Drosophila melanogaster: one gene and its partners. The protein of the gene in region 2 interacts with the protein of the main gene of each other region in a pairwise test. Each region holds a gene or a part of one and is shown on either strand. Other genes may lie near its edges. The genes, in order: CG12985, CG13293 and Dyro.

What was found.
Region 1: the proteins of CG13293 (region 2) and CG12985 interact in a two-hybrid assay, tested with the Drosophila melanogaster proteins (one large-scale study listed by BioGRID).
Region 3: the proteins of CG13293 (region 2) and Dyro interact in a two-hybrid assay, tested with the Drosophila melanogaster proteins (one large-scale study listed by BioGRID).

The regions. Positions count from the first base shown.
Region 1 is NC_004354.4:17,881,732-17,885,490, reverse strand, and holds CG12985 (uncharacterized protein), read right to left. Parts: upstream 1,774-3,759; 5' UTR 1,684-1,773; coding exon 1,016-1,683; intron 852-1,015; coding exon 407-851; 3' UTR 253-406; downstream 1-252.
Region 2 is NT_037436.4:6,080,853-6,084,611, reverse strand, and holds the start of CG13293 (uncharacterized protein), read right to left. Parts: upstream 1,730-3,759; 5' UTR 1,259-1,729; intron 1-1,258. Other genes in the region: ssp6 (short spindle 6), read right to left, coding at 3,339-3,759.
Region 3 is NT_037436.4:11,294,209-11,297,967, forward strand, and holds the start of Dyro (Dpt-YFP repressor by overexpression), read right to left. Parts: upstream 1,712-3,759; 5' UTR 381-1,711; coding exon 1-380.

The DNA of each region.
Region 1 (3,759 bases), on a different chromosome or scaffold from region 2:
TCGTTGCGTCTTGGCCTTGCACTCATTTCCCATTGTTATTGTTTATTTCGCAAGAATTACGACACTGTCAGGCGAATTTGTTGGTAAACAATTGTGTATTGAAGCAGCTACGGTGGTCACTCGATACGGGGAAGATCTTTAATATGTACATAACTGACAATACATTAATGATTTGTAATGATATGTGCAAGCTATTTAGTACGATCTTAAAAGTAGGAAATAAATTAACAAGAAAACAAGGATTATACAACTCGCATTTAGGTAATACTTCATATTTACGCTCAAAAAGTGAAACTGAAATTGTTGAAAAATCTCGAAACTCTTATCCAAATAGAGTTAAAATAATTTGCAGCGTTTAGAAAAACAGAATTGTGGACGTAGCATCCGTTAGTAGGGAGCGCATTTGTTAGTACGAGTGATCCCCGTACAGTGAATTCCCTTGATAGCGATCCAGTCCGTTCAGGATTTTCTCCCGCCGCATTCGCTGTTGCTGCCGTCGGCGCTGCCTGTAGAGATCCAGGAGAGCATTGCAGGTGTTCCTGTCGAGTGCGTAACCGCGCGCTCCATTGGCCCTTATGGCGACAGTGGGTAGGCGGTGAACCGACGACTTGTACAGCAAACTGCCGGTGCCGACCTTTTGCTTGGCCTCCACGGCGGCGGATGCGGCGCGACAGGCCGCCTCCTTCACCTGCTCGTACTCCGACTTAGCTTGCGCCACCTGGCGGGCCAGGCGGTCACCACGTGCCTTCGCCGCCGCCAGCATTTGGTTCTTCTCCTCGATATCCATGTTCGACTGGTCGATTAGGCTGTCCATTTCCGACAAAATGCCACTCGTCTGCTGTACGAGGGCCCTGAAAACATTAGTAATCGAAAAAGCATTGATATTAAAAATCGATATGTTATCGCTGGTAGATATTATGATAGATATAACGATATAATTGTTCCGCTTTTAAATTGTGTAGATAGTTGGATGGATTGTGAACAATATTGAATATTGAATATTTATCAATTATACCTGAATGTTTCGGCTTGAACCTCCGCTGCTTTGACCACGGCACAGGAGGCCTCCACGTTCGTCTCACTGTTCTGCAGCGAGCAGCTCACCTGTCCGACCACCTCCTCGGCATCCCGGATCTCCCTAGCGTAGTTGTCCACCATTGCCTGTTTGCCCTCGAGCACCGCATCGGCGGCACGGGCAGCGGAGATGGCCTTTTCCGCCAGCTGCATCTTCGCCTGCCGCGATGCATCTTGAGCGGCGGCCGCCTGTGCATCATTGGCTGCCTTGGCCACCTGGGCGGCATTCTGGGCAATGTGGGTGGCCTTCAGCCGCGAATTGATAATCTCGTCACAGGAGTCACAGTTGTCCCTATCTCTAATATTATTCCTGTCTTTGTCCCGATCCCTGTTTCTATCGCAACCCCTATTTCGATCCCAATCTCGGCCTCGATCCCGATCAATATTGCGATCTTTTTCTCGGTCCCTAGCGCTTTCGTCCATGCTTTCACATCCAGATTGGTAGGACGGTCTTGTGGTGCATCCCAGATAAGGGAATGGCACCACTGTGGCCCCCGAACTACCATTCCCATCGCCGTTGAAGCCCTGGGGAGATATGTCATCGTTGGTGTTGTCCAAATAGCTAGCCAGGGAGGCGTCGTGTTCGTTGTGGGGCTGGTCGAAGCTCATCGCACGGACACTCACAATGCGGAGGATGATAAGGAGCAGGGTATATGGTGGAAATATATACATTTTGAATCCGGAATTTGAGGAAAGCGACTCAGGCTGCTGCTTTCAAAACTACTAGATATTCCATAGAATATATACATATTTCAGGGTATTTTGCGATTCTTTACAGTTGGCTGGCTTTCTAGTACTTTCGCATAGTATCAGTTTAATTGATGATGGGAACCCCTTAACTTACCGTCTAAAAGAGCTAGAACGTATTTGTGAAACGGAAAAGCAATTGTTTGCCCTTTAACGATTTTTTAATTGAGCTGAGTGGTTGCCCATACTTTTCCACCAGCGCTTTTCCAGCTTTCCCATTTCCCATTGTCCTGCAGGATAAATGGCTGCCATAGCGATGGGTAATCAGCACCTCAGTTGGCAGCTTTCGCACCTTGCTCACCTTTCGCACCTTCTTTCTCCCTTTGCCCAATGCAGTGTAAATGCGTATCAAGAATACTTCATTAGTGCCCAATTGCGGCGCAATTGCGACGCTGACGCAGCCAACTGGCTGGCTAACTAAGTATCTAACTAGCTAGCGGCTAGCTGACTAACTAGCTAGCTGGTTAGCTGACTAGCAAGCACGTGTGGCGAGCGGAGAAAGGGTAGAAAGCGGCATAGGTGTGGGTGGGCTGGGAAAAGTCGCACTTTATCACAACAAACCAGATGCTAAGCACGTGCTGCCATTTGTTTTGGTTATTATTATTGTGATTCCAGTCTCTAATCAGTGCGGCCAAATAAATAAGTGTGCGGAAAACAGAAACCATGAATGCAGTTAACTGGCGGTGGGGAAAACGCCACCTGGCGGAAGTAATATCAACAATTGCAACGATCTGTAGATACAGATTCATAGATACATAGATAGCGCTATAATAGATATTTGCGTATTTTTCATTTACACTGAATATACTAACATTTATTCCGTGAGAGAATTCAAATTCTTCGTTGAAATTACGCATAAAAGTCAGGGAAAACATGCTATCCGCATAATTGATTTAAGATTCAAGATGAGTTATTTGAAAGATGAAATTCCATAGATGCAGAGGAAAAAAACGTTTTTCGGGCAACACATTATTAAGTGAAATTCATGCCGGCCATTCAGTTCCTTTGTTATATATATATATATATATATATATGTACATACATGGTATATAGTATCGTTATTGTAGTCTTCTTGTTCTTGTTCTTCCTGCATTCATTATCATTGTTGTTGTTGCTGCCGACTGGTCACCAGTTTACTGCAGTCTGCTTGCGAAACTGAAATTTTCAATGCCACTGTCAAAGCTGCGACGTCATCCGTCATCAATGAATGCGCAGTTTTCAATTACCATACAAAATACAAAACAGTCAGTACAGTGGCGGAAATAGGGAATGATACGGCCATGTTCTCTATAAGAAAGTTGCAAAATGGCAGAACGTTCAATTCAATTGACAGCAAGTGTGCAAGGGAAATCATACACTTGTTTTCCAATGTGATCTTATGAGTATCGCAAACTATGAAAATATGGTATCGTTCGCTCGAATAGATTTAGAGACTTTATAATACAAACCAAATGCTCATTTTATGTTCTTTTTGATTTATAGAGAAGTAAATTTAATCATTGCCAACATCATTTATGTTTTATTACCACATTTTATCATAATATTGTGCATTTGATAAGTTTTTATTTAACGCGATCTTGAGAGATCACAAAAACAACTTCATGAAAGGTTCTTTTTTAATTGCCGCTTGTTGTCTTTTGTATTTTCGCTTGCCACTTGTTAGTGTTTATATTTTTTATTTGCACATTTTTGCGCTATTGCGTATTGAGCAAAAATCAACTTTATTAACTGACCTTGTGTGTGGCCATGTGCCCCAGTGTGTGTGTGTGTGTGTGTGCGTGTTTGTGTGTTTGTGGGAGCGAGATGGCAGCAAAGCTCTGCGACTGCGCCGCTCACTTCACTTCGGTTCATTTCAGTTCATTTCGCTTCAGTTTCGGCAAAGGCAAAATCGGTCATTGAACTTTGAACCACCTCAAGCTAAACAAAAAAAAAAAGAAA
Region 2 (3,759 bases):
AAAAAAGTTTGTGTCCCAGGTAATTTTGAAGAGTGGGTGCTATTTTCTCCGAGTGGAACGAAACTATTCGCTGCTGCACCGCGTTCTTTGCTATTTGACAAAGCTGCACATTTTTTCCGTTTCGCTCCTTTTCTTTCGGAAAGTGTGTGTGTGTGTGTGGGTGTAAATAGGGAGGCGCCGGTGGGTGGGGTGTGTAATCCTTCAAAGGCATTGTAGGCTACACATTTAATGGCATTTTGACGCTGCCGCCGCTGATAATGATGTTGTCGTACATGCAACGTCCGCATCCGCAGCAAACTTCAAGTTGTCTGTTCCCTCTGTTCTCCCGTCCTGCTCTCCTTCTGTCCTGCTGCTCTCCAAAAAGGACCTCTCCCCCCCCCCCCAACCACATCCTTCGTGCAGCCGTTCAGTCATTAGGACTTATGAATTTCGGTTTAACAATTGAGCGGCTCAAAGTGCGATGGCGGAGGAGGTGTCTGCAAAACTTTGGCATAGTTCAGCCTTCATAATTAATGGCAGCCTAGCTGGAATAAAAAAATAATAATTCCAGAACGAGACGTACATATAAAAACCAACTACTTGAGTGGGCCAACTTTGCCCTAATGATACAGGCAGGCAGACAAACAGACAGACAGACAGTCGGTCCGAAAGTTACAATTCTCATATCTCGCTGCAGACATCACAAGCTGCAGAAAAACTTTGTCAGGACCAAAAACCGGATGCGAGTGACCAGCGGAGAAGTTTTGCCTTGGCCCCCAGGACACTTTTTGTGAACTGTTCGACTGTCACCCGGGGGCAATTTACATTTCACATTTAATTGGCAATTTCTATTTATCGAAATTGATCTCGCACCGAAGTGGGCAAAGGATGTTTGTATTTTAGCTGCCAACTGTGTGTAGTCGGAAAATTAAATATATCACTGTGAAATACTTTCGATAGGCCATTTAAAAAGTTTTTAATTTGAAAACGTAAAATGTTGAACGTTTCAAAACAGCAGTACAAGTATTTACTTGAAGATAATTTTCCCTAAAAATAAATACTCTTAAGTTGCTAGCGGGTAAATCGAATTCGCAAGCAAGAAGTTGCTCCCTTAGAGATATAAAATACATCTCTGTTAGTTGCCACCTCCCCCCCATTCAGATTTACATAGTAAATGAGCTTTAATATAATGTAATATAACCCAAGATGAAACAATCACAGTTTCTTTTTGTTGTGCATTATTTTTCATTTCTCAGGGGGAACCCCTTTGCACACTCACCTTTTCATTGTTGTATCTGCTGCTGCCACCAACAACAACAGAAACAGGAGCGGATGCGGAAGTCGCAGTCGCAACCTCTGCTAGCAGTCGCGTCGCCCTGCACTTGACATATGTTTTGCCGGATCTGCTCAAGATCGTATTCTATAGCTTAGCGCTCGAACACTTTGCCACTTTTCACTCACTGCACACACGCGGGGGTCGCTTTTTATTTTTTTGCCGGTTTGCAAGTTGCCCTTGTTGGGAATTTCACTGAGGACTTTGGGGGCGATTCAAGAACCGTTGTCAATCTTTCACTGATATTTGGATAGTATCCCGGAACTGGAGCATTACGTGCTGGGGGGATAAAGCGGGGAGAGCGATTGTGAGTGGAGAACGCTGCGACCGTCGCGTTTGGCTGCACAGTATTGAATTTTTTCGCATTTACATTTTTAACGAGGAGGGTTGGGGGTTGGTATTGATTTTTTTGCCACTTTGACAGCTGCCTGGTGCCAGCGATGGCCAACAGAGGGCGTCGCTGACAGTTGCCAATTTCGCGGGGGATGAACAGCTGACCGGCGAAAAGACGTTACATGTGGAGACTTCCAATGGTAACACTCTACAGGGGTTGTAAAATGACCAATAGGTACGGTAGGTGGCGCCACTTTCGAGCCAATCAGCTGATGAAATTCCCTGGGGTGTTCCACAAGTTTTTATTAACCCATAAAGCCGATTTTTATTAAATAAATTCAATTCTATGTACACCTTATTTTTAGAAAATTTTCGCAGGAATAAAGAATAATTCCTCCTCCTACCAATAATATATCTTGTTCTGTTTCTATTTTTATCTAGGGGTCACACTACATGAACACATTTCTTGAGTTTTATTGCAATACATAAGTTCAATAACATTTACATTTCGCATTACATAAAAGCGTTTTAAATTATATTTGGTTGGTTGCTTGATAAAAATGCGACTAAAATTGTTGCGGTTTTTAGTGCTCTTTCACTATCACAATGAAATAAATTACATTGTTCGGATACAGTATGCAATAAATATATATGCTTAAGTGTGTATATGCTACATGTAAAACAGTATCTAGTCGCATGATAGGTTAACCATATTATATGGCAAATACAGATACATATATAATCCTCTATCTATCATTACAAGACGCCAGATTTTTCTCTCATTTGGAATATGCGCGTGGCTTTTCAGTCTTTCAATAAATCCAAAAATCTAAACGTCAAAGCGTCCTAGTTATATCGCCTATATATTAAGTGAGTTTCACAAACAGAAGATAGCTATAAGTTTAGTTTTTATAGGTCTTAAGGTGTTCTAATTTCTGAATCATCTACTCTTAGAAGTATCTTCTTTTGGGCTTATCTCTGTGTATTGTCCTGCGGTTTTTGGATGCTAAATATTTATCTTACATTTATAAAACTCACTTAACATATTATTGAATAGTTAAGCTACATGTTGATTTTTGTCTGAGTTATATGTTTAAAATTTGGCTCTAGTTACCATTTCAAATGAGTTCGATGTTCGGTTTTCGAAGACGCGAATGGATCAGAATATGAGTGCACTCATGAGCGGTTCAACTAAGTGAATCATGCACAGGTTAGGCGTGTGAGTTGATTTGAATGAGGTAAGTTTGGAATGAGTACTAAATTCTTATCTTTTTTAAGAAGGTTTTTTTCACCATTGACTACATTTGGATACCAAACAAATAATTTTCTACATTTTTTAGTCAAGCTACAAAATATTAAATTATCTATTCCTTAAATACCTAATATAATTTTGTTCAAAAATTACACAACATTGAATATACAGATATCAGTTTAGAAAGAAAATTCTATTTTTATTTTTAAATAATAATTTAATTACCAGACTAATCAAAATGATTGATTCGACTTTTATTCTATTCAATATTTTTTTTCATACTCATTCAATTCTTTCTCATTTAAAATAACATTTAGTTTTAAACCTCTATTAACTGAACACGCCTATCAAACTTCAAAACTATTTGATCATCACCCTCTACCCATGGTGCACTCATATTATTCTTGAGACGGATCTCGTTACGGTCTAGACAACTTTGACCTACAATCTGGTGGCCTCCGAAGTCGTCTGGACATCTCCTGCACCATGCACCTGCTGACTAGTGGTGGAGGTGCCCACATCAGTGGTAGGTCGCGGCAGATGCGAGTAGTATCCCAACTGGCAGGAGTTCTGGTGGGACAGCTTCTGATTTTGACTGAGTTGGTACTGGGCCGCCTTAATGGCAGCCTGTTGCTGAGGCGTCAAGCAATCGCAGGCGGCCAACAGCTCCTCCGTGGACTTGGCCGTAATTGTGGTGGTTGTGGTGGTGGTCAGCTCGCCCACAAACTCGGTGGGCGGTGGGGCATAGTTCTCCACATCGCCGTAAGTGGAGTATCTGCCGTACGGGTTCCTTCGCGGCATCGAGTGACGCTGCTGGGCAATTTGCATTTTTATGGCTGGCTTAACGGCCACAGTGTCAAGG
Region 3 (3,759 bases), 5.2 Mb from region 2:
CCACTCAGGACCTTACCGTGCTCCCGATGAAACGAGCTGCGCAGGGATTTGATCTTCGATCTAATCGAACGAATTTCCGTGCCATATTTCTGACTCAGGAGCTTGAGTGCCTCGTATTTGGTCTGTTTAATGTGGTAACCTTTGGTATTGGGATCCCAAAGGACTCGCTGCCGGCGATAGTCCTCGATGAAGTTCAAGATCGTCGAGCGCGACCATTCGACGCGATCAGCTGGTGCGGTTGCTGTTGCTCCCGACGCCGCCGTTGTTGTTGTTGCAGTGGGCGAAAGGGGGAGTGGCAGCGTGGCAACATCGGCTATCAAAGCAATGGCATTGGAGTTGGCATCGAGCTTGAACTGCGCTGTGGCTGCGCTGCTGGACATTGTTGTTGTTGTTGGTAATGGTGAAAGTTTTCCCAGCCTGCGCGGGGGTTCGGGGTGGTGGGTGGTTGGTGGGTGGTGTACTGGTGTGTCGGTTGTATGGTTGTGTTGGTGATAGGAAAAGGAGTGAGAGAGAGAGAGAACGCAACGCAACGACGCGACGAAAAAAGCGTCCACAACACGTTGCTTTTGACTTTCGACTGGCGGCAGCAGCGGCGGCGGCGAGCGTAGAGCGTTCGTTCAGCTGGCCGTGTTGTATTTGTGGCAGCGGCAAGTGCGGCGGCGGCAGCTCAGCTGCACTTTGTGCGAGAGAGAGCGAGTCCCACGGAGAGCGAGCGAGCGCGAAGCGTCAGTTGTTCAGTTGCGACGTCCAAAATCAACGCAAAGGTAAAGGTGTGCGACTTTGTCTTTGCCTCTCTCTCTCGCACACCCGCTCTTCTGTATGGCTGTGTATGTGTGTGTGTGCTGCAGCAGGCGGGCTTTTTGTTTTTTTTTTCGCGACCTGTTGTTGCTCGCTTGATAATGGCAGGCTTTGTTGTTGCTGCTGCTGCTGTCGCTATCAGCTGTTTTATTGCATGTTGTTGTTGTTGTGGTCGCCACCGATGTGCGACGTGGTGTTGCTGCGGCTGGGGTAGTTGTTGCCCCTATAGAGAGCACACCAACAAAAGTTACAGTTGTTTGTAGATTGTTGTCTATTGGTATAAATGTTGGTGTAATTATTATTATTGTTGCGGTTACTTCTACTAAAGTTGCTCTTGTTGAAAGTTCTCGTTGGTGTACCGTTTGGCGTTGGTGTAATTATTCTTGGCTTTTGTTGGTGTTGTGCTAGCTCAAGTGGTTGATAGTGGTATTGTTGTAAATATTATTTTCAATGTTTCTATTGTTTTGAGTTTCATTACCGCTGGTGTGCTGCTCTTTGTGCTGAAGTTGTGGCATCAGCTGTTGTTGCTTTTGCTCCTCGATGTTGTTGTTGTTGGTGAATCATCTGATATTCCAGCTGGTGTTATCAGTTTTCTTTATTGCTTTTGTTGCTGAGGTGAGTTGTGTTGCTGCTGCTTTTCTAGCGATTGTTGTTGCTGTGGCTGCCACTGTTGTTGCCTGTGGCTTTTGCTATTACTGCTGTTGCTGCTGCTGCTGCTGCTCTCTCGTGCTTTTCTTTTTTGGTTGTCGCCACTTCGTCGACGCTCGTTCGTCGCTCGTCGTTCGCTGTTGAAATCACGATTTGTACTAATTTCACATATTTAAACTGTGTGTGGCATGCGCGCTGCTCCAAACGGGCCGGTTGCCGTTGTTGTTGGTGTTGCTGCTGCTGTTGGCCGTAAGTTCGTCACTTGCTCTTCGCTCCCCCGCCCCCTGGTCCACACACCTTTCCGTTCGCTTTGCTCGTGTCGCGACTTGCGATCGTTGCTGTTGCTGCTGCTACGACTGCCTGCTGCTGCTGTCGTCAACAGCCCCACGTTGCACAGTGGGCCCGATCCGATCGTTCTGCGCATGTGGCAGCGGTTGCCAAACGGCGGCGACCATGAGATGCTGGAAACCAACGAGCACACACACAAGCATCTAGGCAAAAGCCTATTTTTAAACAGCGACACATGGCACAGTGTGGCGGCTGCAGCTTTCGTGTTGCAAGTAGGGGATCGTTGGCAAAAATCACGTAGAACAAGGTGGCTTTCATTAAAAATAGAATAAACATATTAAAATATTCAGATAGATAACTGAAGTTAAAGTTGCTTTATAGAAATTTTGTGTTCGTGATTAAATTTATTTCGATATTCATATTATGGTTCAGTTGTTAAAAGAATTCGGAAAAAGTTAAAAAAAATATTAGATTGAATATTTAAAAAAATCAACACGTCGTAAAATAATTGCTAAAATATATTTTTCTTCGAGAGATTTTTACATGCCTTTTTTGGGACATCAATTATGAATAATTTTTTCCCTAAAACATCTTTTGCCCCACTGTGCTTTTGGCCGCTAAAGCTGTAAATATTGTTGCTGCCTGGTCCTCTCACTCTCCCTCTCTTTCTCGCACTTCTCTCATCAGCACGGCTGAGAAGTTGTTATCGTTGCCACTGTCGTTTTTGCTGTTGTTGTTCTTATTATTGCTGCTGCTGGACACAGCAAAAATAATAACAACAACAGCAGAAAGCTCGAAAACACGGTAACAAATTTAGCGAGTCAGCAAAATAACAGAAAAAGAATCGAAAAAGGAATTGCATTTCACGGAGAGTTTGGACGTTTTCGGGCTTGTCTTTCAGCTATTCTGCTTCATTATACCCTTTACAAAGAGTATTGCCTATTTAACTAAAAAGGAGGTTTAAGTAATTTCCCATAAGAAACTTTAGAGCAAGAATTGAATTTACAGATATTTTTCTAGCATAGTTTAAAGTTTAAGTTTTTCAAGCATTATTTAAAGCCGATATTTTTTTGCATGTGTCCAAAATGTGTATTTAATGAATAATGAATTTAATAAGTTTGTATCAAATTGTTTGCCGATAGGGTATTAGTTGTTTCGATCTTTATTTGAGAACTTTTTTTGTCACTTAATCGCAAGGTGTCGCTCACGTAGGCAGCACTTTGATTTTGCATTCGCCTGCACTCCCTCTCTTCTTTTCCAGCTCTTACACACACATGCATACATAGTACATATGTCTTCTCTTTCTCCTCTGAATGGCGTGTCCTAAACCACGTGCGAATATTTTGTATAATTTCACCGAATTTCCGTGTCTCATACGCAGGCATACACACACATATTTGGAGCACGTTAAACGGACTTTTCTTATCAGTTTTGCATTTCGTCTTGCACAATCGCTCCTTCTCGTTCTAGCTCAGCTGTTTTGAATTGCGGAAGCTTTTGCGGCTTTTTCTCCTTCTGCTGTCCATCCTAACGGCTCATTAGCAAGCAGGGACGCTGCCGCAGTTGACGGCGCAGTCGCAGCTGCAGCGACGTGTTTGCCGCACCTACGATAACGGTATTAAGCTGACATTACCATGCACCTACCTCGACAAAAAACCGGTTTTACGGACTTATGCATACCCTGCAGCACAAGAAGTTAATAAACACAGCCACTTCGCTGACGCTTAAATGTGAAAGATTTAAATTTAAGGATTTACAACATATAACGAAAATATAAAAAACTTTTATTGTATTTGTTCCGTTAATCCCTAATCTTTCTATACAGAAATGTGTATGTACTAAAATAATTACTTTTAAATGATTGAATTTAAAATTTAGATACTATATACTTGAATATTGGTAGGCATCATCTTGGGCCAGATGAAGTATTTTTTGAATTAAATAATTAAAATTATCAAATTGTTCGATGTATAAGCGATCGCTTACTCATTAACGCCAAAGTGTTTGCATTTCCTTAGTTGCCTT